4 linked regions of the Arabidopsis thaliana genome follow. The protein of the gene in region 4 purifies or fractionates together with the protein of the main gene of each other region. This does not show direct contact. Each region holds a gene or a part of one and is shown on either strand. Other genes may lie near its edges.

Region 1 (7,543 bases), on a different chromosome or scaffold from region 4:
AAAGGAACAAAAAAACTTAACAAACAAAAGCCAAGATAGTTTAGAGGATCTCGCACATAGGCGAGAAAGAGAAAACCGGACATAGCCGGAAACAAAATCCGACATCATCATCGTCGGAAAATGAAAGGCCAAAAGCTTTCTCTCTCAAAAACTTTTGAGAGAGAAGAGAGAGAAAACCTGCATAACGTTCAGATTTGTTTTGATCTGGGTGTGTAGCTTTTTGCTCTTCCCTTGCTTTAATGTTTTTTTCCTCAAATTTTTGTTGGTCCTACAATAATGAGTTGCCACGTTGTTGGAACTACAATAAGGAGTTGTCACGTAAATTCAAACCAATTTACTGAAATGGGAACAAAAAAGTCGTAATGGTGGACGGAGTGCAATCTTATGTAGGCAGAAGACCACTCTTTTTGGCTACATAATGTGTTTGAAATTGATAAATCTACGTATATAATTTTAGTAGCCTTTTTGACCAAAAATCTCTTTATTATTTATTATTAACATTTAGATCTTTACAAATTATATCTCAACTAAATATTGTATTATTAAAAACTTATAATTTATTAGTTTGCACTAAATACTTGAATTAACTTATTCTTTTATTACATATTTAGTCTCTACAAAATCTATCTTAAAACATATTTGTCTAAATTTATATTTTTAATTAAATCTTATCATTATTGAACTACATTCAATTAATTACTAATTTTCTAAAATTTCTGTATCTATATTAAATATAAATATATGATTTTTCTTTTACTTTTATTTGTTATTACATCTAATTTATTTGATTTTATATAAAATACATATAGTTAATAAAATATTAGATTTGTTGTTGCATATCATGTAATTCAAATTTTTAAAAACAAACATATATAACTCAATCGATAAAGAAAAAAAAATGTATAAAATGTCCCACATTACTTAAGAAATTGGGCAATGATTCAAAATCTTACTATAAAAAGAACCAAAAGTTTGAATACGAATAAGTCGAAAGCTTGATTTATGAAGCATCCAAAATTAAAAATGTTATCCGGTTTACTCTGAATCATTATTTTAAAGAACTGAATTTTTAAAAATTTAAAAATATTAAAAATATTAAAAATTTGAAAACTTTTAAAAAGTTATACTATAAAACGTTTTAAATATTTATAATAATATTAATACGAGACAGTATATTACGAGTGAAATTCTAAATATTACAATAAAAATATAATTATAAAGTTTAGATCGTTGTTATTATTTTTTTGAAATTTCAAATATTATAAATATTTAAATTTTTCAAAAAAAGATAAAATAATATTTAATTTCACGTGATAGGGTTACATGGTAAAATAAGTTTTAGTTGATATTAATATAGAATGATATATAACTATACGCAAAATCTTAAAATTTGAAGACAAAATTCATTTTTGTTGATAAAAAAATATACGCATGTGGTATAAATATATATATAAATAATATTAATTAAAATAAAATATTTCACTTTCTAATGAAAACTTCAACCCACCGCCGGTCAATCTCTGGTGCATTAGATTATTGTAATGAGTTTGATTGCGCTCGTTTCCTTTTTGAAATTGTGAACATGTCGTTGTTACTATCATGAATCATTCAAACAAAAGAAAAGAAATGGGAACAAAAGAGAGATTCAACCTTTCTTGGCACTACAATAAGGCTTATTGCCACGTTGTTGGCACTATTTTTCTCTTCTCTCTTCTACCGGTCATCACCTCCTTGCTGGATCCGCAACAACAACAATGGCCAAGTCAAGCGCCGACGATGAAGAGCTTCGGCGAGCTTGCGAGGCGGCAATCGAAGGCACCAAGCAATCGATCGTCATGTCGATACGTGTGGCCAAGAGTCGCGGTGTTTGGGGCAAGTCTGGAAAATTGGGTCGACAAATGGCTAAACCCAGAGTTCTCGCTCTTTCCGGTGATAGAACCTTACCTTCTTCTTCTCTCTTTTGATTGTTCTGATTTGATTCATTTCACTTTTAATTACTTCGACCTTCTTCGCGTTGATTGGCTAGTTCTAAGCATTTAGATTCGGTGATTATGGAATTTAGAGAATCTGTTGAATACTAAATCGATGAAATTCTACTGTTCTTGGCCATTTTATGACTCGTGAGAGCTCAATTAGGTTTTCCTGAGCAACAAAAAGGATTCTGGTAGTGTCTGTTAGGTGAATCAATCTAGTGTACTCGAGGAGAATCTGTGTTGTTATGATTCAAGTGGAAGATATGTTTACTCTGATCCACGTTTCAAGCATTCTCGTCCAATTGGTTTTAGGTTCTTTAGAGTTGTAATCAACTGAGTATGCTTTTTGTTATTCTGCTTTCTACAGTCAAATCGAAGGGTCCACGAAAGAAAGCAATTCTTCGAGTCATGAAGTATTCAAGTGGAGGAGTTCTGGAGGTAATCTTCATTTTCTTTCTCCATGTGAGACACACGTTCACGAGTAACGTACAAGGTTTAACATTTTAATTTGGAAGAAAAATGATTGATAAAAATCAATATAGATTGACTGATGATGTTTTATAATTCTCTGTTCATCCAGCCTGCTAAAATGTATGACCTCAAGCATCTGTCAAAGGTGGAAGTCATAACTAGTGACCCAAGTGGATGCACATTTACCCTCGTAAGATTTTGATGAAGTGGTTAGTATCTAAGATTTCAAGAAGAAATGCATAATTACTTAAATAATTCGTAGCATGTGGTGTAAGAGATGGAACACAAAAGCTGATGCAAAGTCTTTTAGGGGTTTTACTTAAATAATTTGTAAAACACTGTTCAATATTTTCCATGTTCCCACTGCTTTTGCTGATGCAAAGTCTTTTAGGGGTTTGATAATCTCAGGAGTCAAAGTGTTGCTCCTCCACAGTGGACCATGCGCAACACTGATGACAGGTACTGCAGTTAGCAACATCAATATTAACTATTACAAGATGTGAAGTATACATGATAAGCGATGGTATTTTTGTTGACGTAGTTTTCCTCATTTAATACATACCTTTCTCTGTCGTGATTGTAGGAACCGACTTTTAGTTTGCATATTGAACATATGCAAAGACGTATTAGGCCGCCTTCCAAAAGTTGTTGGTATAGATATTGTCGAGATGGCCCTTTGGGCAAAGGTTTAGACTATAACTTATTCTAACTTTAAATTTTGGTCTAAGTCTCTTATATTCGAAAGAAGCTTTTGTATGTAATTGTTATTGTCATTTTCCCCTCCTTTCAGATATGTGAGTGCTTTTTCATATAAGAAAGTTATCTAATTTGTGTTTCTTTGTTTCATAATATTGGTCTAGGATAACACTCCAGTAGTCACTACTCAAAGAAGTACAGAAGATGGGGAGCCTGTTGCTGAATCTGTAACAGAAAGCGCCTTGAAAGTTACTGTTGAGAAAGAACTAGTCTCTCAGGCCGAGGAAGAGGATATGGAGGCTCTCTTGGGAACGTATGTCTTTTTCTGTTCCTTTCATCATTTGTTTAATCCATTTTGTTCCTTTTTTTTAAGTGTAAAATCAGTATATATCTTACAAAGGAGGAGTTTTTTTTATCTACTTGTGTATTTGTTATATGGAATGAAGAGAGAAGAGTCCGCCTAAATCTTAAGCTTGGGAGACTAGGTTTCTGACTAACTTAGAATTGCTTATATGTCCAGCATGATTAGTAATTGTAGAATCAGTACCTTGCATATTTCCTCTTGATTGAATTTAGTTTAAACTATTGGCATTGTTTCTTTGAGAACTAGCTTGCTGGGGATAAAAAGATAATGGAAGCAGATATCTATTCCACTTATTTTGTCAGATTATTCACTCAACTAATATAATTGTCATATACAGTTATGTGATTGGCATTGGTGAAGCTGAGGCATTTTCTGAAAGGCTGAAACGAGAGCTTCAGGCGCTTGAAGCGGCAAATGTACATGCAATTCTGGAAAGCGAACCATTAGTAGATGAGGTAATTCCTTTTCTGCTAATTATTATTCTTTGGATTATCTTGTTATTAGACAGTTCATGGGATGCGAGTGTTAAATTTTGTTGTATATATGATCATCTTCATGCTTTTCAGGTTTTGAATGGACTAGAGGCAGCAACAAATATCGTTGATGACATGGATGAATGGTTAGGAATATTCAACATTAAACTTAGACACATGAGGGAAGACATTGAATCGGTAGGACTCTTGACCTATAAATGATCTTTTTTTGCTTTGTTTTATTATAAGGACAATGTCACTGCAGTGAGAAATTAGTTGTTGTATGTTGTCAATAAACTCTTCTCATACATTGCTTTATTTTTTCTTTTTGGTTGGTAATTTCTTTCATAGTACTTCTGAAATCTGCAAGAGTAGGGGTGAAAGAGAAATTGATTTCCAAGTATATTTGTTGGACTGATTAAACCTTTATATGTCGACACATGTTCTCACTTTTTTTTTGTTTTGTGGTTACCAGATAGAAATTCGAAACAACAAGTTAGAGATGCAGTCTGTAAACAATAAAGCTCTCATTGAGGAACTTGATAAAGTTATTGAGAGACTGCGTGTGCCTTCTGAGGTTTGTTTCACTCTTTTTTTCTGCTTACTTCTCTTCTGTCTAATTGGTTCGCTTATAGAAGTGTTGTTGATTGCAGTATGCAGCATCCCTAACAGGAGGCTCATTTGATGAAGCAGACATGCTTCAGAATATTGAGGCTTGCGAGTGGTTAGCCAAAGCTTTAAGGGGTCTTGAAGTGCCCAACTTAGACCCGATCTATGCTAATATGCGAGCTGTATGCCTAATCACTTAGATCTTTCTAATTCGGTATCTCTAGTTATTATTCTAATTTTATAGTAAATCGGCCTTGCTTATTACATTACGTTTTGGGAATAGAAAAATACATTTATAATTGTCTGTAACATTCATTAACTATTGTCTACTTTTTTGTAATACTCTTGCTGTATTTTCTTCAGGTAAAAGAGAAACGAGCAGAACTAGAAAAATTAAAAGCTACTTTTGTAAGGAGAGCTTCAGAGTTCTTGAGAGACTACTTTGCTAGTCTGGTAGATTTCAAGTTCAGTGACAAAAGCTACTTTTCTCAGGTACTACTTTTATAAAATTCCATCGTACCAATATGAAGTCTAGTGACTAATTCTGAATATTTATCACCGCATCTTTTAAACAGAGAGGGCAGCTGAAGAGGCCTGACCATGCTGATTTGCGGTACAAATGCAGAACATATGCTCGTCTTATGCAACATTTAAAGGTAAAACCGAGAAATGGCTAGGTGACATGCTAAAAGCTCCATGCAGTACATTGATTGCTTGTCTCCTTTCTTGTTGCAGGGTCTTAATAAGAATTGTTTGGGACCATTGAGAAAAGCATACTGCAGCTCCCTGAACTTGCTCCTTCGTCGAGAGGTGAGGACAAATATATGTTTCTTTATCAATTTGACCGCTGACTAACTGGGACACTTAATTGACTAAAAGACTGCTATAACGTACTGAATGTTAATGTGTGGATATTCAGCAAACATTTTATTTTCTTCCTTAGCGTTAAATATTCAGTTACCAGAGATTTGTTTCTTCAAAATATATAGGCTCGTGAATTCGCGAAGGAGCTTCGTGCAAGCACAAAAGTATCACGAAATCCTACTGTTTGGCTAGAAGGATCTACGGGTTCTAGTCAGAATGCAAACACTGACACCTCTGCAGTGTCAGATGCTTATGCCAAGATGTTAACAATATTCATCCCGCTTCTTGTAGATGAGGTCATTGTCAACCGAATGGTTTTCTGTTTGGTCTTTAGATGCAACTGATATATGTACTAAATCATCATGTTTCTTTTTTGCTTCATAATACAGAGTTCCTTTTTTGCGCACTTCATGTGCTTTGAGGTACCTGCTCTTGCTCCTCCTGGAGGTGCTGGCAATGATAAGAAAAGCCAGTCCAACAATGACGATGGTAATGATAATGATGATTTGGGGATCATGGACATTGATGAAGCTGACAAGAAACCTGGTAAACTTAAACTGCTTGCCATCAGTAAAGCATTCGCTACATATTATAAGGTCTAATGGTTCTGAAAGCAAAACAATATTCCAATTTTTGCAGGTAAAAACTCTCCAGACCTGACGGCATTGAATGAATCTCTTCAAGATTTACTTGATGGTATTCAGGTAAGATGTCCCCCAAAATAAGGTTTCTATGTGAAAACCTAGAGGTAGCGTTCATTTGTCTTACTAAATAAGAGATTTGTGTTCTTGTCATCGCAGGAGGATTTCTATGCTGTTGTTGACTGGGCATATAAAATAGACCCCCTACGGTCTATATCAATGCATGGTATAACCGAACGTTATCTATCTGGTCAGAAAGCTGATGCTGCAGGATTTGTTCGCCTTTTGCTTGGAGATCTGGAGTCGAGAATTTCTATGCAATTCAGCCATGTAGTCCGTCTACTCAGAGATTGTTTAGTTTTTGTTCCTGGCATACCATTCCTACTAATCAATTCAAGTTGACTTTAACTGCAGTTTGTGGATGAAGCTTGTCACCAAATTGAAAAAAATGAACGTAATGTAAGACAGATGGGTGTCTTGCCATATATTCCAAGGTAATCAAGAAGTCCATACATTGAAGTGCCATGTGAATACTTATTTATGTCCCCACCAGTTAGTACTTCCGTCCACCCTGTTTATAATTTCAGTCAATTTTGTGGTTCTGAACTATTTCTCCCATTTAGATTGTTGTTCAGGTTGACTATAGGTGATCCAAGAACCCGTTATAGTATTAACATGAGGCTTTCCTAATATTGTTATCTCATTTTCATAGATTTGCAGCACTTGCTACTCGTATGGAACAGTACATACAAGGGCAATCTAGAAATTTGGTTGATCAGGCGTACACAAAATTTGTGAGTACAGCTATTTTTATGAGTTTATAGAACATGACTAATGAAATTACACAAACCATGTAAGCAATAATAGACAGTCTCTGATTGCATATGATCTTAGTTCACTTACAATGTATAAACCCACCATTAGCTCATGACTTCATTCTTAACAACAACATATAAGTAAAGTATATCTCAGATTGTCTCTGCATTTACTATCGTCAATTTCTTTTGTTTCTTTCCTTGTTTAGCTGATAGAGTCTGACTCCTAATGTTTTATAGGTGAGCATACTGTTTGTGACCCTCGAGAAAATTGCCCAACAAGATCCTAAATATGCAGATATTCTCCTTTTGGAAAACTATGCTGCTTTTCAAACTTGGTAGGTCCTTTTCTAACTCTCTCTCTCTTGGTTTGTCTTCTTATTCCCTAACCTTGTACATTTTGTTTGTGCAGCCTGTTTGACCTGGCTAATGTTGTGCCGACTTTAGCCAAGTTCTATGACCAGGCAATGGAAGCATATGAACAAGCTTGTACGCGCCACATTAGCATGATAATTTACTATGTAAGTGGTTCTCCCCATTTGCAGCTAATAGCATAACTCCCGTTTTTTTCCATTCTTTTCGATTTATTGTTAAGGGTACACCCGTTTGTGTTTGCTTCATGTGTTCTCTCGTCCCT
Region 2 (3,770 bases), on a different chromosome or scaffold from region 4:
GTTCCTAGTTCTAAACCGTCACACTAAGACTCAAGAGTAAGCAAAACACCAACATTAGATTTTTAAACTAGACTCTATGAGCACTCAACCAAAAATAATTTACAAAACAATCAGATGATTACGAACCACGTCTCCAAAGACAGATGCCGGAACACTACCAACAAATGAAGAATCGACATAAAGATGTGAGAAATTGAAACCCTAGAATAAGAAGTCAAACCACCTTACACAGGAGTCAGATTCACAAGAACAAAAAAAAAACTAAAAATTACATGGAACGAATAGGAGACAAATTAAAACATAACAATCGTTGTCTTCTAGAACCTTAGAAGAGTGTGGATTCCAGACCTAATTCCCAAATCAGTGACTTCTTCTGAGTTTGGAAAGTTGGCTAACCAAGGCCGAGAAGAAAGCTCCACTAAACCAAACGATTTGGAATTTGGATATCGAGTTAGTTTTTTTTTGTAGTATAAATTTTTTCAAAAAGAGTTTTTCAAGTTTTCCCAAATGTACGCCTTTTTTAAAAATGATATGAAATGGAGATGCATCAGGAATTACTGTATATAAGATATCAACAAAAATTTACAACAGAAAAATAAAAGTCATTTCAAACATGAAACCAAGCCCTCACTGTTTAAAACAAGCACCACAAGGCTAAAGTGTGTCAAAAGAACAGCAAACAGAAGCCTGCAATGGGTTTTAGATTGATCAGACCCGAAGGATCTATCTTCCTTGAAAGTATAAAGCCAAGTACTCGAGCTAAATGCAGAATCAAGCCTTGACCCGAATCACGAAAGAGCCTGTGAGGACATGACAAGGATAGTTACCGAACTGAAGCAACTTATAATGACAGGTAATAAGCAATATTTGAAATAATTTTCTATCTTTCTTCCCTCCAATGTGTGATTTTGAGAATATAGAAGAAAGTGAAAGAATATAAGAATTTCGAAAACAAGCAAAGCAAGCTGTGAACTCACATGTGGGAAGGCTTGATATATCTGCAGAGACAGCACAAGGTATCCCCAAGTTGGAGAGGACACCTCTAATGATTCCACACGGGAAATAGAGGTACATGCTCACCGCTTGTGCAGCTTTGCTTTCCCCTGGAGTAGAAGGATCTTGGGTTTCATTCTCAGATGAAGGGTCAATTGAGACACGAGACAACCACCGGAACTTGTTGTCTTGTAATACAAAAGTACCCTGAAGAGAAACATTCCATCTGTGAATAACACACACAAGAAGAGTTTTGGTCTTTGTTCAGGTAAAATCCCAGTTATCTTACCCGGTGATTTGTCTTTAAATTATCAATCTGCTTCTTGAAGACCTCAGACCAGAAGTCTTTGCAGATAAACTTGATTGCCTCTAGATGGTCACTGAACCTTGGTCTTTCCATAGTGTACCTAACGACATAAAAAAGGCTGAAGTTATGCACAATCAAGTAAAATGCTAAATATCTGCCATCATACAACACTGTAAAACAGTTTTTATGTAGGCAAACACCTTCAGAAGCAACAAAACATGCCTCAACAGACTAAAATCATTCTTCGTACACACACACTATAACTAATCAGGGACTAAGAGAATCATTCTTCTGAGACAACAAGAAAATTTCCTAACCAAAACATTGCACGATTAAATACAAAAATTAGCCACTAGAGCAATGAGAAAAAAACTCGAATCAGCGCCATATATCTTCCCATCTATCACATTCTCAGCCAATTACACACGAGAAACGATAAATCCAATATCAAAGAGAATCATTGCTAACGATATACATTCGCCATCATCTTCAGATCTACAACTAATACTAGCAACCTAGAGATACAATGATCAACCAGATCGAAAGAAGACGATGATCAAGTGTAAAACAAACCTCTCGGAGAGCTGGTGGCCGACCTGATAACCAATGGCCTCGATCCTCCGAGCGGCGAGTTCCGGCTTGTTAGCATAGAATCGGCCACTGTACATCGCCACCATCTCCATTAACATAGTGTCTACACAGCTCTCCGCCACTTCTCTCCCCATTTCTTCTCTCTCTCTCAGACTCTTTCCGTCTTCTCTCCACCGGTTTGGGGCTTATGCAACGAAGCTCCGATCTATTAACTTGTAGAGTATTTACATTTAAGTCCTTAATAGTTTTCTATTATTTCTGATCTGTGACTTCATTTTTTAAAGAGTCATGATAACCTTAATCTCTGACATTTAAACCGGATCGTCTTGGTTCAATTTTCCTTCAAATACCCGATTTATACAATTATTTCAAGTGAATGGAAATTACTTTTGGTGTGCTGAATGCTGATCATTTATGGTTAAAAATCAATTTTACTTGTATAATATGAGATATAAATATAAATAAATAAATCATGATTATTGAATAGGACTTTTTTAATATCTTTTTGGTGGGCAAAAGAGAGACAATTGTCTCCCACGTTTTCTAATTTAATTAAAAAGAATAACACATTATTGATTATTAAATAGCACTTCAAAAATTTACATTTCATAAGATTGATTTTGAAATTAGATCAGCTTGTAATAAGTCTTTCAAATTTAAGATACAGAATTGAAAAGAATAATATTTAAATTCTTTAAACATCACATGTCCAATAATTAACTCTTTAAACATCACATGTAAAATCAGTTAAAAATAAAAAGGATGAGAAAAATGATAGTTTTTTTTTTTTGTTTTAGAGTGGAAGTGGGAGAAGCGATGATAATTACCTATAATACCCTTTAACTTTTGTGTAATTACTCATGTTTGCGTCAAGTGTATGGATTTGGTCGCCAGAGAGAAGAAGAAATATACGATTCATACGAATTCTGTATCGCAAAAACATCAAATCTCGAAATTGAGCTCCTTTTCTGGAACTAGGGATTGCTTTCCGCTCCTTGCGCTAAGTCTACTTGGTTTCTGATTCGTACAATTTGATGAAATGCGAGTGCTCAGCGAGATTGCGGAGTCACCGTTCGTGATTTCTCGGCTAAGCCCTGATTCGACGGCCACCGGAGGGTTTATCGGCGGATGGGTCGGGAAGTGTCATGGGTTTCTTCATAACACGGTTTTGGTTTTAGCATCTATTCTATTCGTCGCTTACTTAGCGTACGAGGCGAAGAAGAGCTTGTCCAAGTTGTCTAATCGGAGATCTTACATTATGATTGCCTATTATGGTTTTCTTTGGCTTGTTAGCTTGCTCAATCTTGCTTGGTGTTGCCTTCAGGTTTGTTAAAGTTCTCTTCTTTACTTCGATTCATTTCACAAGTAACTCATACCTATGTTGCGTGTAAAGAGATCAGAACTTAGATTGAAGAAGAATGCTTTTTAGAGTGTTTTAGGCTCTGTAAATGTAGAAACTTTGCGATCTTATCAACATTGTTTTTATTCTACACTGGTGATTAGAAAGCTTTTGTATTTTGTGTAAGCTATTAGTGTTGATTTCTTGGTTAGATGCTGCTTAACAGGAAATGTTTTACCTGATTTAGTCTTACTCCAGATTTCGTTTTGAATTTACTTTTCATGAGTTTAGGCATGGGAATGCACTCCGGGGAAAGAAGTTATTTGGAATTTGTTAACTTTGTTCACAACATCTGGAATGTTGTTTCTGGAAGTAAGCTTGGTAGCCTTTCTCTTCCAAGGAAACTATGCAAGCGGTGCTGAAGCATTAACACGAACTTTCCTCATCTCGGGGCTTGTCATTGGTCTCGATTTGCTTCTCAAGGTAGATTTGTGTTCATAACTGTTAGATACACTTTCTGATATATAGATAGATATACTT
Region 3 (7,793 bases), on a different chromosome or scaffold from region 4:
TCGTCTTTCACTCAGATGGAACTTTCATTAGAGAGCCTTTTGATGAAACAAAAGTTTTATTAAGTTTTATAGGTCAGCCTCAGTACTCAACCCAAAAAGTTGTAAAATCTATTAAGATAACAGAGGAGGAACTAAGTCAAATCTTTTGGCACAAAAGAGTACTATTTACACACTTGTATAGACATATTACTCTTCTGTTTTACAACTAGCAGTAATTCGACCAAAAGACTGAACAAATGTTTCAATTCCAATAAAGGACTCATCTACGACTAATACCATGCAACATACATATTTCCTTAATCACATCCATCATAATAGTGTCTTGCTCATGTTTCTCTTCATGTTATCCTTCCAAAGGTTCAGAATCCACCTCTTGATGAGTGTTACTTACCGGTGAAATATGACCTGAAACTTTTAGTGTAAAAAACCATAACATGTTTTGTAGCTTTGGTTTCAGATGTATGAGTAAGTCCTCCTCCTCAGCCATTCCTTGTGGCTTTTCTTTTACGAATTCTTGATTCACTGTCTTCATTTATTCGGAAGAGCCTCTTGACTTTAGTGCCGACTGCTTCTTCTAGCTCCAACTGAGTGTACTCATCCATAAGTTTTTCTGGTGTTAGATTCAGACAATGACCAACACTCGCACAACCGACTTTAGTTATCTCCATTCTTTCTTCTGCACTGTTGTTCTAAGTGTTGTGTTCAAAAAAGTTTCCATGTAAAGTTGCTGCTTGTACTTCCTTCTCTAAGGAACCTTTCACATCATCATCTTTGTTTGAGTGAATCTCCTTCCAACATTCAACTGAGTTTTCCAAGATTGCTGTGATTAAAATCAGAAAGAAACACGGATTAGAACAAAATTAGTTTAGCCATAAAACTGAAAAAGTAACTCAAATCAAATGAATACAAGTATATACCTTCTATAGAGCTACACTCTCAGATCTAGGAGTGCAAATAAGAGTTTCTCTCTTAGTTTTGGTAGTTTTCTCAGCAATAGATATTGAAACGATATTCTTAACAAGGTAACGGCCAGTAGACACGACTAGCTCAGCTTCAGTGCTGCTCACTGGTACTTGCACTGAAGCAGGTGATAAGCGCTTGACAAAAAGTACAGAGTGTGATGATACTTCCTCTTTGTCCTCCTTAACTGCAGATATTAAAACTGTGTCTCGCTCAATTTTCTCTTCACGTTGTCCTTCCATAAGTTCAGAATTCAACTCTTTAGTGCTTATTATTTGAGAAACTATCAACTGGTTTTTCCAGTGTAGAATCCAGAACATTCTCATAATCATAACAGATCCTGCACCTTTGGTTTCTGAGGAAATAAGGTGAATCATCAATCATTCCTTATGGCTTATCCTTAATGCACTCTTGATTCATTTTCTTCAACTACTATTGGAGCCTCAAATGAATTATGTCTCGAAGAGTTCCTTGTCAATCTAACATTTAGCTTCTTGAATCTTGACATTTTCAACAGAGGCTCCATTTCGTTCACAGTCAATACTGGAACAACTTTTCTGTGAATTACTCATTGCTTCCAGTATTCAAAATGTATATCTCAGAGAAGGACAAATCACGTCGCAACGTAATAATTTTTTGCAAATAATCTAAATTAATCTAAGAGTCATTTTTGAGGATAAAATCGAGTTACTGACATCTTGTGTGTCTGTCCTTCATACCAAATTATCCGGTCAAAAAGCCACCACACCGGAAAATATTATTTTCTTATCATCGCCATGTTTTGATTTTTCCACGTTTACACCTTTTAATCTAAAAATCAATATTTCTGGAAGAAAAAAAAAAACAAATTAAAATTGTCACACAAATCACAAACTGAAATCTCAAAATCGAAACTAAAGCTTCTCAGATCTCTAACTATAGCTCAAGGCGGAGGAGACTGAGATCGATCATCTGAATCGCCGAAACATGTCGAGCGATAGCAATGATCTTGACGAAGATGAGCTTCTTCAAATGGCGTTGAAAGAGCAGGCTAAGAGAGATCTCACCTATCAGAAACCTCCTTCATCTTCTGCTCGTAAGCCTGTTGCCAATTTAGTGCAGCAGCCTCGACAGCAGAAGCCTGTGGCTGCGGCTGCCGCTCCGCCGAAGAAGTCTGCTGCGGCGGTTAGGAAGCCTTCCATGGATGAGGATGAGGAGTCGGAGGTGGAATTGCTTAGCATTTCGAGCGGGGATGATGATTTGGAGAGGGAAAGGGAAATAGGTGGTTCTAGTGGTGGTGCGGGGAGAGGAAGAGGTAGCGATGTACGAGAGAAGGGAAGAGCGAGGAAGGAAGATGATGGTGCTTGGGATGGAGGAGAGCCTGATTGTTGGAAACGGGTTAATGAAGCTGAGGTATGTATTTGTGGCGAGATTCATCAGTGAATGCTTATGGCTTTGCTTGTTCGATCAAGTTCAAGAGTTTGAATTCGATATATTGATCTATTTGTTGAATTGTACGACACTGAACAATACCATTCGTGGGATACGGTGAATGCTATCCATAGTTTCTGGTGTTGAGTTGATATAGAGAGCTTGATAATTAGCATGCCATTAGTGATTTTAGAACCATAGCATCATATGGATGTATAAGTGGAAAGATGACCATTTTCACTGAAATTCCGGTGGCATTTTGGCAGCTTGCTCGTAGGGTTCGTGATATGAGGGAATCGAGAACAGCACCCGTGGTTCAGAAAGTAGAAGGTAAAGCACCTGCACCTGGGAAGAAAGTGGCTCTGACTAGTTTGCAGTCACTTCCTCGTGGAATGGAATGTATTGATCCACTAAAATTAGGGTAATTGCTCTCGTTTCGTTTTGCTTACCATGGAAGCCAGTCAGATGCTTTGTACTCTGTCTTTGATATGGTAGAACATATCTAAACCTGAATTTGTCTACTTCATAGGATCATAGACAATAAGACATTGAGATTAATCACTGAGTCGTCAGGCAGCCCATCAAAAGCTGAGAAAGTGGATAATACTCTTCGCGGTATGTCTTTCTTTACCATATCTACAACTCGAGTGAACAGTAGCACTTACAATTTTTTGGAGGGCTAATTCGATGTACAATTTCCAGTTGTCTAATTGTTATGTATCTTTTTCTGAGTATTTGCAGAAAAATTGGTTTACTTCTCTGATCATTTCGATCCGAAGCTGTTTCTTTCCCGTATTCACCAAGACACGACTGCAGCAGATTTGGAGGCTGGTGCCCTTGGCTTGAAAAGTGACTTAAAGGGTCGGAATCTGCAAAGGAAACAATTGGTGAAGGACAATTTTGACTGCTTCGTCTCATGTAAAACAACAATTGATGGTATGTATTATTACTTCCAACTGAATAATTTATGTTTTTTTCTTCTTTCATTTTCATGTTGACCACTGATTTTCTTAATAGATATTGAGTCAAAACTGAAGCGGATTGAAGAAGACCCCGAAGGTTCAGGAACTACTCATTTGTTTAATTGTATGAAAAGTGTGACATCGAGGGCCAATCTTGCATTTGAGCCACTTTTTGAGAGACAGGTTGGTGTGATTCTGATTTACTTCTTTTGCTTGTCACTCTCTTTCATTTTGCTGAAGCCTTTTTCAAAATCACATTTAGGCTCAAGCTGAGAAAATCAGGTCTGTCCAAGGAATGCTTCAGAGATTCCGGACACTGTTCAATTTACCCAGTATCATTCGTAGCAGTATTAGCAAGGGTGAATATGATTTGGCTGTTCGAGAATACAAGAAGGCGAAATCTATTGCTCTACCTTCTCATGTATGCCTGAATTTTCAATCACACTCTCTTGAGACAGATCCTATCCACATTCCTATAAGCACTGAGCCTTCTTTTTATTACGATTTAATTTAATTACATAACAAGGCTCTTGACAATATAGAAAAACAAGCTGCTTTCAGGTTAATATACTCAAGCGTGTACTCGAGGAGGTTGAGAAAGTTATGCTGGAATTTAAAGGCACACTATACAAGTCTATGGAAGATCCGAAAATAGACTTTACAAGTGTATGTCAGTTATAATTCATTTTATTTTAATGTCAACTAGTAATTAAACTGAACAATCCTTCATTCAAATATTCACCAAATGCATTAACCATACTACTGATATCATGTCAATATTGCAGCCATCATGAATGTTAACTTTTATTTAGGATATCCCGTTTTACATTTTCCCAGTTGTTGTACCTACTAAATAAAATGACTAAATTTTTTTCCAGTCTATTTTTTTGTCTTGATATCTGAGGTCTGTTCTTATTTTAGCTGGAAAACACTGTGAGGCTTTTGCTGGAGCTGGAACCCGAATCTGATCCTGTGTGGCATTATCTAAATGTTCAGGTCGGTATATTCGAAGATGTCACTCTTTTACTACTTCTTACTATGTTCTGTGTGGAATCTGGATTCCTAATAGATTTGCTTTGAGTATCAGAGTGACTTTTAGCTTATAAAATCTTTCATTTGTTTCAACTTAGCACATTTATATGTCTCCTACACTTTTTGTTGCAATCCTCGTGTATTTTCATAATTGGCTCTTTAATTACAGAATCATAGAATCCACGGCTTGCTTGAGAAATGTACATATGATCATGAAGCAAGGGTGGAAATTTTGCGTAACGACACTCATGAGAAAGCCATCTCAGATGCAAAGTGGCAACAAATTCAACAAAATGGCGTTTCATATGTGAGTCTAGCATTGAGAATGATATATCATTAAAAGACTATTCAATATTCAGTTCTTTAGATGATAACGTGCCTTGTTTTTTCATCCTCTAGTCAGATACCGCCTCTTCTAATGAAAATAATGCAGTTCAAGTTGACCTACAATCAGTGGAATTCCCCAGCGAAGAGATTGATATTTTGAAGGGAAGATACATCAAAAGATTGACTGCTGTGCTTGTGCATCATATCCCTGTGTTTTGGAAAACAGCTATATCTATTTTCAGTGGAAAATTTGCCAAGGTATCCGCTATTCTTTCTGCTTAGATCCCTATACTGACCCAAGAGTAGATTAATTCTGTAGTTATTATTTCTTTCTTGAATTGGAAATAGTTCTTCATTTGATTTGAATTTAACTTTGATTTGCTTAGTCCTCCCAAGTTACTGATACTTCAGCCAATAAAGCTGAGGAGAAGGTCACAGAGGCAAGATATTCAACTCATTCTTTGGAAGAAGTTGCTGGGATGATACGCAAGACTATTTCTGTCTATGAAGCAAAGGTATTATCTTTGTTTTCTAATTAAGTGACCTCTTCATTGGAACTTTTCTTCACATTAGAAGGACAATCCTGTGGTATCTGTGCTATAAAGTGGCTCTAAATATTTTCTTCTCCTGATTACTGCTGTTGTAGGTGAACAGCACATTTTGTGATTTTGATGAATCATGCATTCTCCGCCCATTTATGAGTGATGCCATTAACGAAGTATCAAAAGCATGCCAAGCTTTTGAAGCCAAAGAGTCAACGCCCCACAGTGCTGGTATTTGAACTTCTTCTGAAGCTTGAGCTTGCTGTTTAATTTAAGTAGACTAAGATGCTGTATAACCTTTTTGGTTATGGCAGTCGTTGCACTGAGAAAAATCCAGGCGGAAATCACTAAGATTTATATCCAAAGGCTTTGCTCTTGGATGAGGGCCTCCACGGAAGGAATATCAAAAGAGGAGACGTGGATCCCGGTTTCTATTCTTGAAAGGAATAGATCTCCATATGCCATCTCTTACTTGCCTCTTGCATTCCGTTCAGTTATTGTCTCTGGCATGGAACAAGTCAATCTGTAAGTTTCAACCGTATTTTGGTAACATATAGAAAATATTTACATTGTGAGGTTTACTACACTGTGGAAGTGAAAAACCCCAGTTTTTTCTATTTGTTGTATTTGGAGTTCCAGACGTCTATGTTTCCAGTACATACATCAAGGTCTAGTCTTTTCTGTATACATTAGAAAAAACAAAATGCCAATAGTCAGTAATTGTGATTCTAGCTTGTCATACCGTGATTACCAATTCTATGCTGAGACATGTAAAATCAAATGACTGTACCATGTTTGTATGATAGGAAAGGGGTCTTATATGCTTCTCATTGCTATTCAGGAAACTGCATATACAAATGTGTACTTTTTTCATACCACAGTGTTTACTTTGTTAACCTGTTGATTTCCGTGTATACCTTTTTCAGGATGATTCTGTCTGTCAAAAGTGAAGCTGCCAAATCAGAAGATATGTTTGCCCAAATTGAAGAAATCATAATATCCGTTAGACTGGCATTTTTGAACTGCTTTCTGGATTTTGCTGGTACGAATTTTAACCAAGCATCCTTGATAATATCCTCATGCAAACACCGGAATGCAGGCAAATGCACACTTTAAAGTGGTTACGTTGATATGCTAATTTGCTTTCACCATATGCCAGCGCACTTGGAGCAAATTGGTGCTGATCTTTCCCAAAGCACCTCCAGACAAGATAATTGGAAAAACGGATATTCTGATGAGCATCAGGAAGAACCATCAGCCAACACCTACGGAAGTGTAATTGATCCTCACAGGCGGTTGTTGATGGTCTTAAGTAATATAGGTTACTGCAAAGATGAACTTGCTTCAGAGCTTTACAACAAGTTCAAATATACATGGTTACAGTCTAGGTTAGTCCCTGCTTAATAAACGTCATTAGTGCTCTTCTGAACATCGTCTTTACTAAGTGGTAAACAAGTTGGGCATACTCGTGCATACTTAAATGAGTCAAACTGGATAATAGGTATTAACGGTTAAATTTGATGTGATTCATAATCAAATACTGTTCTCATGGGTGGATTTTGTATATGGTGTTATAGCTCACTAAACTAAGATTTTTGTGTTTTCACTTATTCAGAGACAAAAATGAAGACAGTAGTGATCTTCAAGATCTAATAATGTCTTTCTCTGGACTCGGAGAGAAGGTCCTCGAGCATTACACTTTTGCTAAGGTATTAATTTTTTTCCAGCCATATTAGCCTATGTATGCTTTTGCTAAGTGTTATAAATAGAACTTTAAATTTCCGAGAATTTCACCTGTTCAGGCAAATTTGATCAGAACAGCGGCCACAAATTATTTGCTGGACTCTGGTATTCAATGGGGATCAGCACCTCAAGTGAAAGTAAGAAATCTATGCGAAACGATATCTATTAGCTTCTTGATTTGAATGAAGAAAAGAATTACTTAAATATTTACTCCAATCTTCCAGGGCATACGAGATGCTGCTGTTGAGCTGTTGCACACTCTTGTAGCTGTCCATGCAGAGGTATACTCATGAAAAAAAATTATTGGTCGTTTTGTGGTTCTTTAGACATTTTGACATTAAAATGTGTTCCTCGACAGTGTTCATAGTGTAAAATCCTAATAACTTTGCACCGGAAAATAAAACTGCAGGTCTTTGCTGGTGCTAAACCCCTCCTGGACAAGATTCTTGGCGTGCTGATCGAAGGTCTAATCGACACTTTTCTGAGTGTTGTGGAAGAAAACAGATCAAGTGACCTAAGATCAATTGATGCAAATGGTTTCTGCCAACTGATGTTTGAGGTAACTTGTTCTTTTCATCATTAGAGATGCTCACTAACAAAAACTTCATCTCATAATGAGAAACAAAGTTGTTTTTACAGAAGCAGAGAAGCTTTGCAGATTTGTGATTTGCTAATTCTGAATTTTCATCACAACTGCTGCAGCTTGAATATTTTGAAACAGTACTGTATTCATATTTTACAAGCGCTGCAACCGAGTCTCTTAAATCTCTACAAGGAACCGTGTTGGAGATAGCTATAGAGAGCATCAGTGAAGCAG
Region 4 (7,704 bases):
GCAATAGAATAGGACAATCCTCTTTAGCCAAAGATACTTTGTGTCAGTTTTTTTTTGCTTTAAATTAATAATCGTAACTATTTCTAAAGTAAATTATTGTATTATTTTTTAGTTATTGATTAATCCGTAAGGCCACTAATACACGACATACGAGCTTTGGGGAAACTTCACTGCCTTGTTTGATTATATCAATGAATGGTATTTATTTGACGGTGAAAGTTATGTCATTGCTCTGTGGACCTTTTCAATACACAATAGGGAAGGAATTCATGGTTAAATAGTTTTATTTTTGCTAATATTATGCTATAATCGTTTTATTCTTTTTATCACTGAAAGTGATCCCACTGAGCAGAGTACAAACACTTACTTTGAGAAAAGTAGTCTCAGAACCGAGGCCGTAAAATTCCAAAAAAGCATAGTCTATGCATGGTGGTCATAAGATGACCCAAGGTAAATACAGAGACAAACACACAAGCAATTATAGAGATATTTATAAAGACCCATACTTAAACCCGGAACTTATAATTGATTCTCGAGAAATCAACTAACAGAGCAAAAAACAGAGTATAAATTATAATGCCAAGACCTGATTTGGTTAACGAATCACAGTGCACCTCCAGCTACACAGACATGAAAAGGCGGTCCACGACAGAAGATGGGTTCGTTTGGAGAAGCAGTTCCTGCTCGTGCTCTGAGTACATTGTTAGCGTCTTCAATTACAGCAGCTGCTACCATCGTGTACTCTCCTGGAACAAGGAAGAAGAGTGAGAAACAGTGTCTTGCTTCTTGCAGCGGCGCTACTTCCATTGAGATTCCACTAAGAGCACCTGACAAAAGTATAAGCCACCTTTTACATATCTCATTGTAATACACACGGCTATAATGGCAGCAAATATCTATGTTACACAAATATTTATTACTTAGTGACAGGAATCTTACCAGCCCAGAGGACAGTGGCATCAGCTCCTTCAGTGCAGTTCTGTCCAGCTACATCTCTGCAAGTAACACTTAGATTCAACTTGATAGCTTCGCTAGTGTTATTGCGGACCAGAACCTCCATAGGAGTGACTTCATGTGACAGAACAGATCCCTTTGAAAATGGGGACTCAGCCTTTGTCTCAGGATCCTTCTCCAGACCGTTTCTGACCAGTCTGAAACCAAATGTTAGCGGATCTGGGAGCAAAACATCCATCACAGTCGTCTGGAGAGCTGTCTGAATTGCATCCTTGATGTCCAGTTCTCCTGAGCTGTTCCTTCCTGATTGCCACCGAACTTTTATCTTAGAGATGAGATTCTTGATCAATGTGTTTATCTCAGCTTTCGTGTTCTTCTCTGAGAAGCTCGGATTTCTACTACTTGAAGGGCTACCAGGTGGAGGGTCCTTTGTGAAGAATGAACCATCAAGAACCGGTAGCTTAAAATGCTCCAATGGAATCAGTACCCTAGCAGAATAGTCCCGGTCGATTCTTGTTTTCGGGTATTCATACTCTGGAGAATCTTGTACTGGTGAAGAATCATCTTCCTTGGCAGAGTTTTCCAGCTGAACGAAGACGCTGATTTCAAAAACAACATCTGTTGGGTTAGATAACTCAAGTTCAAGAAACCGTAGTCCCCAGCTTCCCCTAAAGGGATTGATCTTGACAAGGCTGTCTGCATTGCTCTCTCTTTCAATGTCTTCATCCCGAAGGTTGTCACTCACATGTGCAGGGATTTCCATGGAAAGCAAACGAGCTTTCACAAACGACAAACCTTGCAAAACACAAATTTGTAAGGGAACAACAAGCCGTCTGCCCGGTGGCACGATAGATTCTTTTTCTTGGGAATCCCCATTGTTAGACAATGGCCCTGCAAAAATATGAATACAAAAATGCTTTTAGTAATTAGTCATCGTGAGGATACATGAAGCACTGAAAAAGTAAGATACATAGAAACATACGTCAAGGAAGAAATGAATACCTGCGTAGTGAATAAGCAATGATGGACTGGTTCCGTCTTTTGGTCTTCCTGTGTTACCCGCAGCATTCCTGCCACTGCTCATAGTATTGTCAGAATCAGTTGGACCCACATGCCAAGCTTTTAAAGTCACAGGCAGAGTCACTTGTGCCCCAGGTTTCAAGGGAAGAGCAGACTGTAAAGCTTCATCTGCGATCGAGATAACAGCATCCTGATTCTTTCCAGAGAGCGAGACATGTGCCTGTACTATTGGAACTGTGCCAGCATTTGCAAAATTTATACACACCTCCCGAATTTCACCTTCATACAGAATAATTGCACCATCACCACCCACAACATTAGCCACAAGGAGGGGCAATGGAGGAGCAACTGATATGTTAGGAACAAATACATGTCGTAGCTTTGCAGATCCGCAGGATCTGAAAGGGTCAGAAAATACAAGTCCTTGTGCTGCTCCAAGAAGCAGATTGTCAACATCCCTGAACACATGTTCAGTGATTACACCAAAGCAGTGAACTGTGCAGCCTGGAATTGTCACTGGTCCTACAGCTGTTGGAATACCAGATAATGTGATCACTTTTGCAGAGTTAGGGGGAATGTCCACACTGACAGGAAACGCATCAAAGTTACTCGAGTGAGCTGAGAGATAAATACTATCAATCCGCAAATCGAAGCAACAAGGATTTGCTAACTCCACTAAGACCTGAACTGGTTCACCGACCACCCAAATCAATTCCTGCTTGCTACTTTCGTTGGCATCTCCTTTGCTGAAAGGAGTGTAAATAAATGGCCCAGAAGGAGCAGAGCCTGTCCACCAATCTTCTCTTGCTGGATTGCGTTTTACGATGTCCACTTGGGAGGAATGGAGTGGGAAAGAGAATAGCCTGAAATTTCATTAAAATAATCATGCTTAGAAGAACCATTAAAATTTGCCAAAACATACACAGTTTTGCCAGAGTCAGCTAAGAACCAAACATGGAACACATTCCTGAAAATAAACACATATTGGGCATATATGAAGCCCAAGAGATGGATTAAAAGAGATTATTACTTATTTTTCTGATCTCGTTGCTCTACTTAGAGTGCTAGGAAATATAACATGACCAAGTTAGGTTGTTTCATGATGGTGAGAGTGCACAAGCAAAACATCTCTGAGAGCAAAAAGGTTGACTGCTGATAAACATACCTTACAAAAGGCAAGGCAGGGTCAGCACAGCGAGTTCCAGAAGGTAATCTATCCGCTGAATTTGCAAGGGAATTAGCAAGTCCATTTTGACCTGAAGGTGTAATTAGAGGATAATGCCACCTCAGAAGCCTAGCTGCAGCACTCCATGCAGCTAAGGGATCTCCAGCACGAACAGCAGAGAGGAGTATCTCCCTAAGCACAACCATCTGCAAAGTGCTCCAATGGGACTCGAACAGGGAGACAATGGAATGATGATGCATTTTCCCAGCGTCAGGTAGGCGCCCAGTTTCCTTTACCAACAAACACAAGAGAAGATACAATATATTATCAAAGTATGATACATGGATAAATACCAAGATAGTGAAAAGTGATGATAACAAAAAAAACTCCAGAAAACCATGCTCAATCAAACACAAGAGAGGAAAAATAATGCCTATGCTGGCAAACTCACATTGTTAACCGACACTTTTGACATGGATGCCCTACTTTGAATTCTGTATGCATCAGTTGTCATAGAGAGAACTTGCATGGCACTGATAGCAGCCAATCGATTGTCTTGCTGCAAATACAATTGGGCGACCTGCCTACAGAAGAAGGCTGCTTTCCGTTGATAACCAAGGGCTCCAAATAAACGCGCTACTTCAACATATAATATGAGCCTATCACTGGCATCAATTAAAGACTTTGCACCATCAGCTGCATTTGTTAATAGCTCTACTACTTCCTTAGCCAGTTCCCTCCTGCACAACACATAAAATGACATTGTAAGAATGATTAAGATCAAAGATACCAAGAAAAAAATGAGGATGCAACCAGAAGGTTAAAAAAACATAAAAGCTGCCACAACCAGAGAGTATCATTTCATACTAAACGGAAAACCCATGTATTTTAGCTTTTTCAAAACGTAATAATTATTCTTTTCCCAGCTAACATCACCATCAATCACAAAACATTAACATACAGCCATCCTCCACTAGGCCACTTAATACTTAATAGTAATCTCAATATATTGGTATTATAAGTTGAATGTTGCAGATAGTTTTAGAGGATCAAAGCCACACACACACAAGATCCCATGAGTTTATATTTAAATTTTAGTAGCGATATAGCTTCCTACTAGACAAAAATACCATAGCAACCTTAAACTTAAGCAGGAGACGGCAAGAAAGGAAACCACACCATGATAATTTAAAGAAATAGAGAGCATACAATGATACCTGCAAAGGAATCTGGCCAGCTTAAGGGTAGCTTCGAGTTCAAAGCTTAGGGGCGAAACTCTGCAAGGAAGAGAATTGATTGCTATTACTTAAGTTTATCGAAGAAGAAAGCCAAACAGGTTGGTAGAATTACCTCTGAGCAATTTCTTGAATAAATGACTTTCTGTAGTGCAAGATAACATTAGTGTATCGATATCTAACTTCATCTTCTAAAGCCACATCACGTTGACCCATCCGATCTACCTAATATTAAGAAAACGGAAAACTAAGATGATTGCAAACTTAATTAAAGAGGGACAGATGAGAGCAATTTCATAATCAGTGCACTTTCGATAAACAGCACATCACTATCCATGTTTTTGGACTATAATACTATTAAAAATGTAAGAACAATGCATTTAGAGATATATTTGCATAAAGCCTTACCAGTAAGGCACAAACACTGCCTTCCAAGGCACCGGCATACCAGAAGTAATCTCCAGTCAATCTGGCCAGTTCCAGAGCAGTAGAATAATGAGCATTGGCATCAACAGGTGAACCAGCCAACAAGGAATAGTCTCCTATAGTTTTTTGTGCACGTCCCAGCCTACGCTTTTTGGCCTTAATAACCTGCATTAAACAAAACTAGTGAGCCTAGAAGACTATGCTAATAAGTTATAAGCTTCCAGAGGAAGAAATGAAACGTAGACCAAATTATAGGACACCTAGACATAAACCTCCTCTGAGTTGAGACTAGCTTGGGAATCCAAAGGCGTCTTCAAAATTGTGCCAGCAGATTCTGCCTGAAGAACCCACTTCTCAAATTCCATTAACAGCGAAGCGGCAATGTCTTGCATCATTGTTTGTAAATGAAACTCCTGAGTTTGCTTGTCAGATGGAGGAAACAAAATCAAATTTTCACCCTTCTTGTCTCCATCTTCAAGCTGCAAAAGACAGTACATTGTTCAGTAAATCGTCAATCTAACGCATCCATAAGCAAGTAACTAAATCACTGGTACAAAAAATGGACATCACTATCAACTGTAGAGACAAATCAGAAAAAAGCTAGCTAGATCCATCGGCATCGAGCTAAGAATGCCATAGCAGATAAGAAGCATGGAAACTAATATACTTACTTGCGAATCGCCAGGGGAGAAAGCGAAGCAGCGCCGGACAAGAGCCGAGGAATAACTCTTACAAGCGACATTGAATTTTTCAGTGACAGAATCAAGATCAGGGGACGAGGGACAGTGGCAAAGGCCGATCACGGCGAGCATCTTCCGATTAGACTGAAAATCCTCCCAAGGACTCGGAGGAGAACCACCAAGCACAAATTTGAACCGGAGAGAGCCGGAATCCCACGGCTGATTCGTGAATGGAGATTTCTGATGTTCAGTGTAGAAAGAGCTAATAGCTGAGAGCGCGATCGTGTGATGACGGAGCAGCATCGAGTGGTAGTCCCGGAGAAGCGTCGGCGGAATAGTGCCGATCGGAAGGACGGCGATCCGAATGATCGACAAAGTCTCGATACTGACGTCAGGTTCCATGGCGAGATCAGAGAAGGAGAGTGAGGATCTTTCGGTGAGCGTGAGTGCACCGGATCTGAAGGAGACGAAAACGAGAAAGTGTTGAGAGAGAGAACGTGGTCTGTTTGGGTACAGGTATTAAACTATTCTTAGTTAGAATTAGACTATCCGGGGTTAAACTCTATTCATATAACCAAACGATATGGTTAAATTCGCGATTATTAATACTCTCACTGTGAACGAAACTTGGGCGAAATTGAAAAGTTTTGGCGTTATGGAATCGTCCATTGAAGGGAGCTCCGAGTCAACTACTGTCACTACTTCTCCTTCGCGTCGTGTACGAGAACTTTTAGCTTTGTGTTTCAGTGTAAGCTTTCTCTCTTCTTCTTCTCCTCGTTTCGGGTTTGTGTAATTTGTTTTCTGGGTGGAATTTCTAGATGCTTTGAGATCGATGAATACTTAGCTGTTTCGTGATTTTTGGAGCTCGAATGAAAAATTCGCCGCTAATTTTGTGATTTTTCAGTCAGTTGAAGAAGCCGGAGGATTTCAAGACTTTGAGAGTTTTGTGACAGAACTTGTCAGCTGTTTGGATTCTTTGTATGAGAACGTAGCTTTGGATGCTAACAATGAACTGGAGAACGATGTTATTGAAGAAGTATTAGATGAAATTTTGAAAGTTTTATCATCTCCTCAAATGGATCAGGTACTTTTCAGTTTTCGAATCGCTTTCAAAGCCAAACGGAAGGATTTTGTTTAGAGAACCAAGCTTATGATTTTGTTCCCCGATTCATTTTATTACAGGATGTTATAGATGCACTGTCATTTCACTTGCCAAAAGTAACTTCCAAGTTTGCAGACATATCAAGCAGATGTTTACAGTTAGTTGAGGAAATCGTTGATCGGTTTGTGGAAGCATGCAATCCACGGGATATGCTTTCAATTCTTTGTGAGGTAATTGATCTGGAATTTCTTTTTCCTTCTTGGTATTTGGCATAAGAAGATTACAAGTTCTTTTTGATCACCTTATGACTCTGAACCAGGCACTCGATGCTGCACGGTGCTATCATTCAGCCTCCACTTGTTCTACTCCTTTATTGCATGGGCTCTCTAAAGGTACCAGTTGAAGATTTCTCGTTTTCAAGATATTTATAGACTCCTCTCATGAAAGTGAATTTTAGCCTGGCACCTGCAGTTTTAGTAATACTCTTGCTTTGATTGTACACAAGTATGAATATCCTAAAATTTATAGACTTCTCTCATGAAAGTGAATTTTAGCTTGGCACCTGCAATTTTAGTAATACTCTTGCTTTGATTGTACTTAAGTATGAATATCTTAAAGTTTGTGTTTGAATCCCTAACTAGTTTTGTTACTGAAGATATTAATTTAGTCTTCGTGAACTGAAGCAGTAAAAAGTTATTCAAATTTCCTGGTTTCAGTATTTATTTTGATCCAGAGGCGTCACTACGAGCAATTAAAGGTTGCAGTTCCAATTGTCCTGAACGTTTTGAAGGACATTTCATTGGAAACAGACGTGCAAGTTGAAGATTTATTTGATAAGGCTCTAGGCATTGCCTCTTCAATTCGAGACGTTTCTTCAAAACTGGTCTGTAAGTTTGATAAATTGGCAATTAGGATTCCCTAAATCACTACCCAAAGTGTAAATTCTCTAATTTGAATATTCGTTTTGCCTGATTTGATCTCTTTTCTTTGTTTTACAGAATAACGAAGAAGAAGCAAAAGTCCGTTGTCTACTTTGTCTCTATGTGATACAGATAACGGTTTGTACTTGATTCCAACTTTGTTTCGATATCATGGAACTTTTCTGACTTTTCTCTTTTATTA

The links.
Region 1: the proteins of TRS120 (region 4) and SEC3B purify together in Arabidopsis thaliana (affinity purification with mass spectrometry, with the first as the bait; one study listed by BioGRID). This does not show direct contact.
Region 2: the proteins of TRS120 (region 4) and AT3G05000 purify together in Arabidopsis thaliana (affinity purification with mass spectrometry, with the first as the bait; one study listed by BioGRID). This does not show direct contact.
Region 3: the proteins of TRS120 (region 4) and SEC5A purify together in Arabidopsis thaliana (affinity purification with mass spectrometry, with the first as the bait; one study listed by BioGRID). This does not show direct contact.

What each region holds. Positions count from the first base shown.
Region 1 is NC_003070.9:17,464,997-17,472,539, forward strand, and holds the start of SEC3B (exocyst complex component sec3B), read left to right. Parts: upstream 1-1,538; 5' UTR 1,539-1,754; coding exon 1,755-1,929; intron 1,930-2,340; coding exon 2,341-2,411; intron 2,412-2,553; coding exon 2,554-2,634; intron 2,635-2,835; coding exon 2,836-2,903; intron 2,904-3,027; coding exon 3,028-3,130; intron 3,131-3,304; coding exon 3,305-3,453; intron 3,454-3,841; coding exon 3,842-3,959; intron 3,960-4,070; coding exon 4,071-4,175; intron 4,176-4,452; coding exon 4,453-4,554; intron 4,555-4,630; coding exon 4,631-4,768; intron 4,769-4,949; coding exon 4,950-5,078; intron 5,079-5,161; coding exon 5,162-5,242; intron 5,243-5,321; coding exon 5,322-5,396; intron 5,397-5,575; coding exon 5,576-5,746; intron 5,747-5,839; coding exon 5,840-5,996; intron 5,997-6,089; coding exon 6,090-6,154; intron 6,155-6,250; coding exon 6,251-6,421; intron 6,422-6,505; coding exon 6,506-6,585; intron 6,586-6,803; coding exon 6,804-6,885; intron 6,886-7,146; and 4 more.
Region 2 is NC_003074.8:1,386,673-1,390,442, forward strand, and holds AT3G05000 (Transport protein particle (TRAPP) component), read right to left. Parts: upstream 2,160-3,770; 5' UTR 2,026-2,159; coding exon 1,874-2,025; intron 1,401-1,873; coding exon 1,283-1,400; intron 1,201-1,282; coding exon 978-1,200; intron 801-977; coding exon 772-800; 3' UTR 503-771; downstream 1-502. Other genes in the region: Cand2 (Protein of unknown function, transmembrane-40), read left to right, coding at 2,931-3,215, 3,522-3,713.
Region 3 is NC_003070.9:28,846,087-28,853,879, forward strand, and holds the start of SEC5A (exocyst complex component sec5), read left to right. Parts: upstream 1-1,784; 5' UTR 1,785-1,926; coding exon 1,927-2,352; exon of another isoform or gene 2,353-2,636; coding exon 2,637-2,791; intron 2,792-2,899; coding exon 2,900-2,985; intron 2,986-3,111; coding exon 3,112-3,306; intron 3,307-3,387; coding exon 3,388-3,515; intron 3,516-3,594; coding exon 3,595-3,753; intron 3,754-3,893; coding exon 3,894-3,998; intron 3,999-4,253; coding exon 4,254-4,328; intron 4,329-4,533; coding exon 4,534-4,671; intron 4,672-4,763; coding exon 4,764-4,949; intron 4,950-5,077; coding exon 5,078-5,206; intron 5,207-5,337; coding exon 5,338-5,464; intron 5,465-5,547; coding exon 5,548-5,758; intron 5,759-6,159; coding exon 6,160-6,275; intron 6,276-6,392; coding exon 6,393-6,621; intron 6,622-6,848; coding exon 6,849-6,942; intron 6,943-7,035; coding exon 7,036-7,113; intron 7,114-7,200; coding exon 7,201-7,257; intron 7,258-7,385; coding exon 7,386-7,535; intron 7,536-7,678; and 1 more. Other genes in the region: AT1G76840 (uncharacterized protein), read right to left, coding at 480-676, 755-820, 935-1,202. UniProt on the Arabidopsis thaliana protein: Component of the exocyst complex involved in the docking of exocytic vesicles with fusion sites on the plasma membrane during regulated or polarized secretion. Involved in polarized cell growth and organ morphogenesis.
Region 4 is NC_003076.8:3,493,510-3,501,213, reverse strand, and holds TRS120 (TRS120), read right to left. Parts: upstream 6,020-7,704; 5' UTR 5,883-6,019; coding exon 5,472-5,882; intron 5,280-5,471; coding exon 5,073-5,279; intron 4,966-5,072; coding exon 4,783-4,965; intron 4,600-4,782; coding exon 4,490-4,599; intron 4,417-4,489; coding exon 4,357-4,416; intron 3,880-4,356; coding exon 3,591-3,879; intron 3,430-3,590; coding exon 3,140-3,429; intron 2,838-3,139; coding exon 1,957-2,837; intron 1,846-1,956; coding exon 940-1,845; intron 828-939; coding exon 604-827; 3' UTR 269-603; downstream 1-268. Other genes in the region: ALF4 (aberrant root formation protein), read left to right, coding at 6,064-6,228, 6,385-6,564, 6,663-6,812, 6,902-6,974, 7,299-7,465, 7,581-7,640. UniProt on the Arabidopsis thaliana protein: Specific subunit of the TRAPP II complex, a highly conserved vesicle tethering complex that is required for the proper transport of proteins in post-Golgi trafficking pathways to the growing cell plate in mitotic active cells.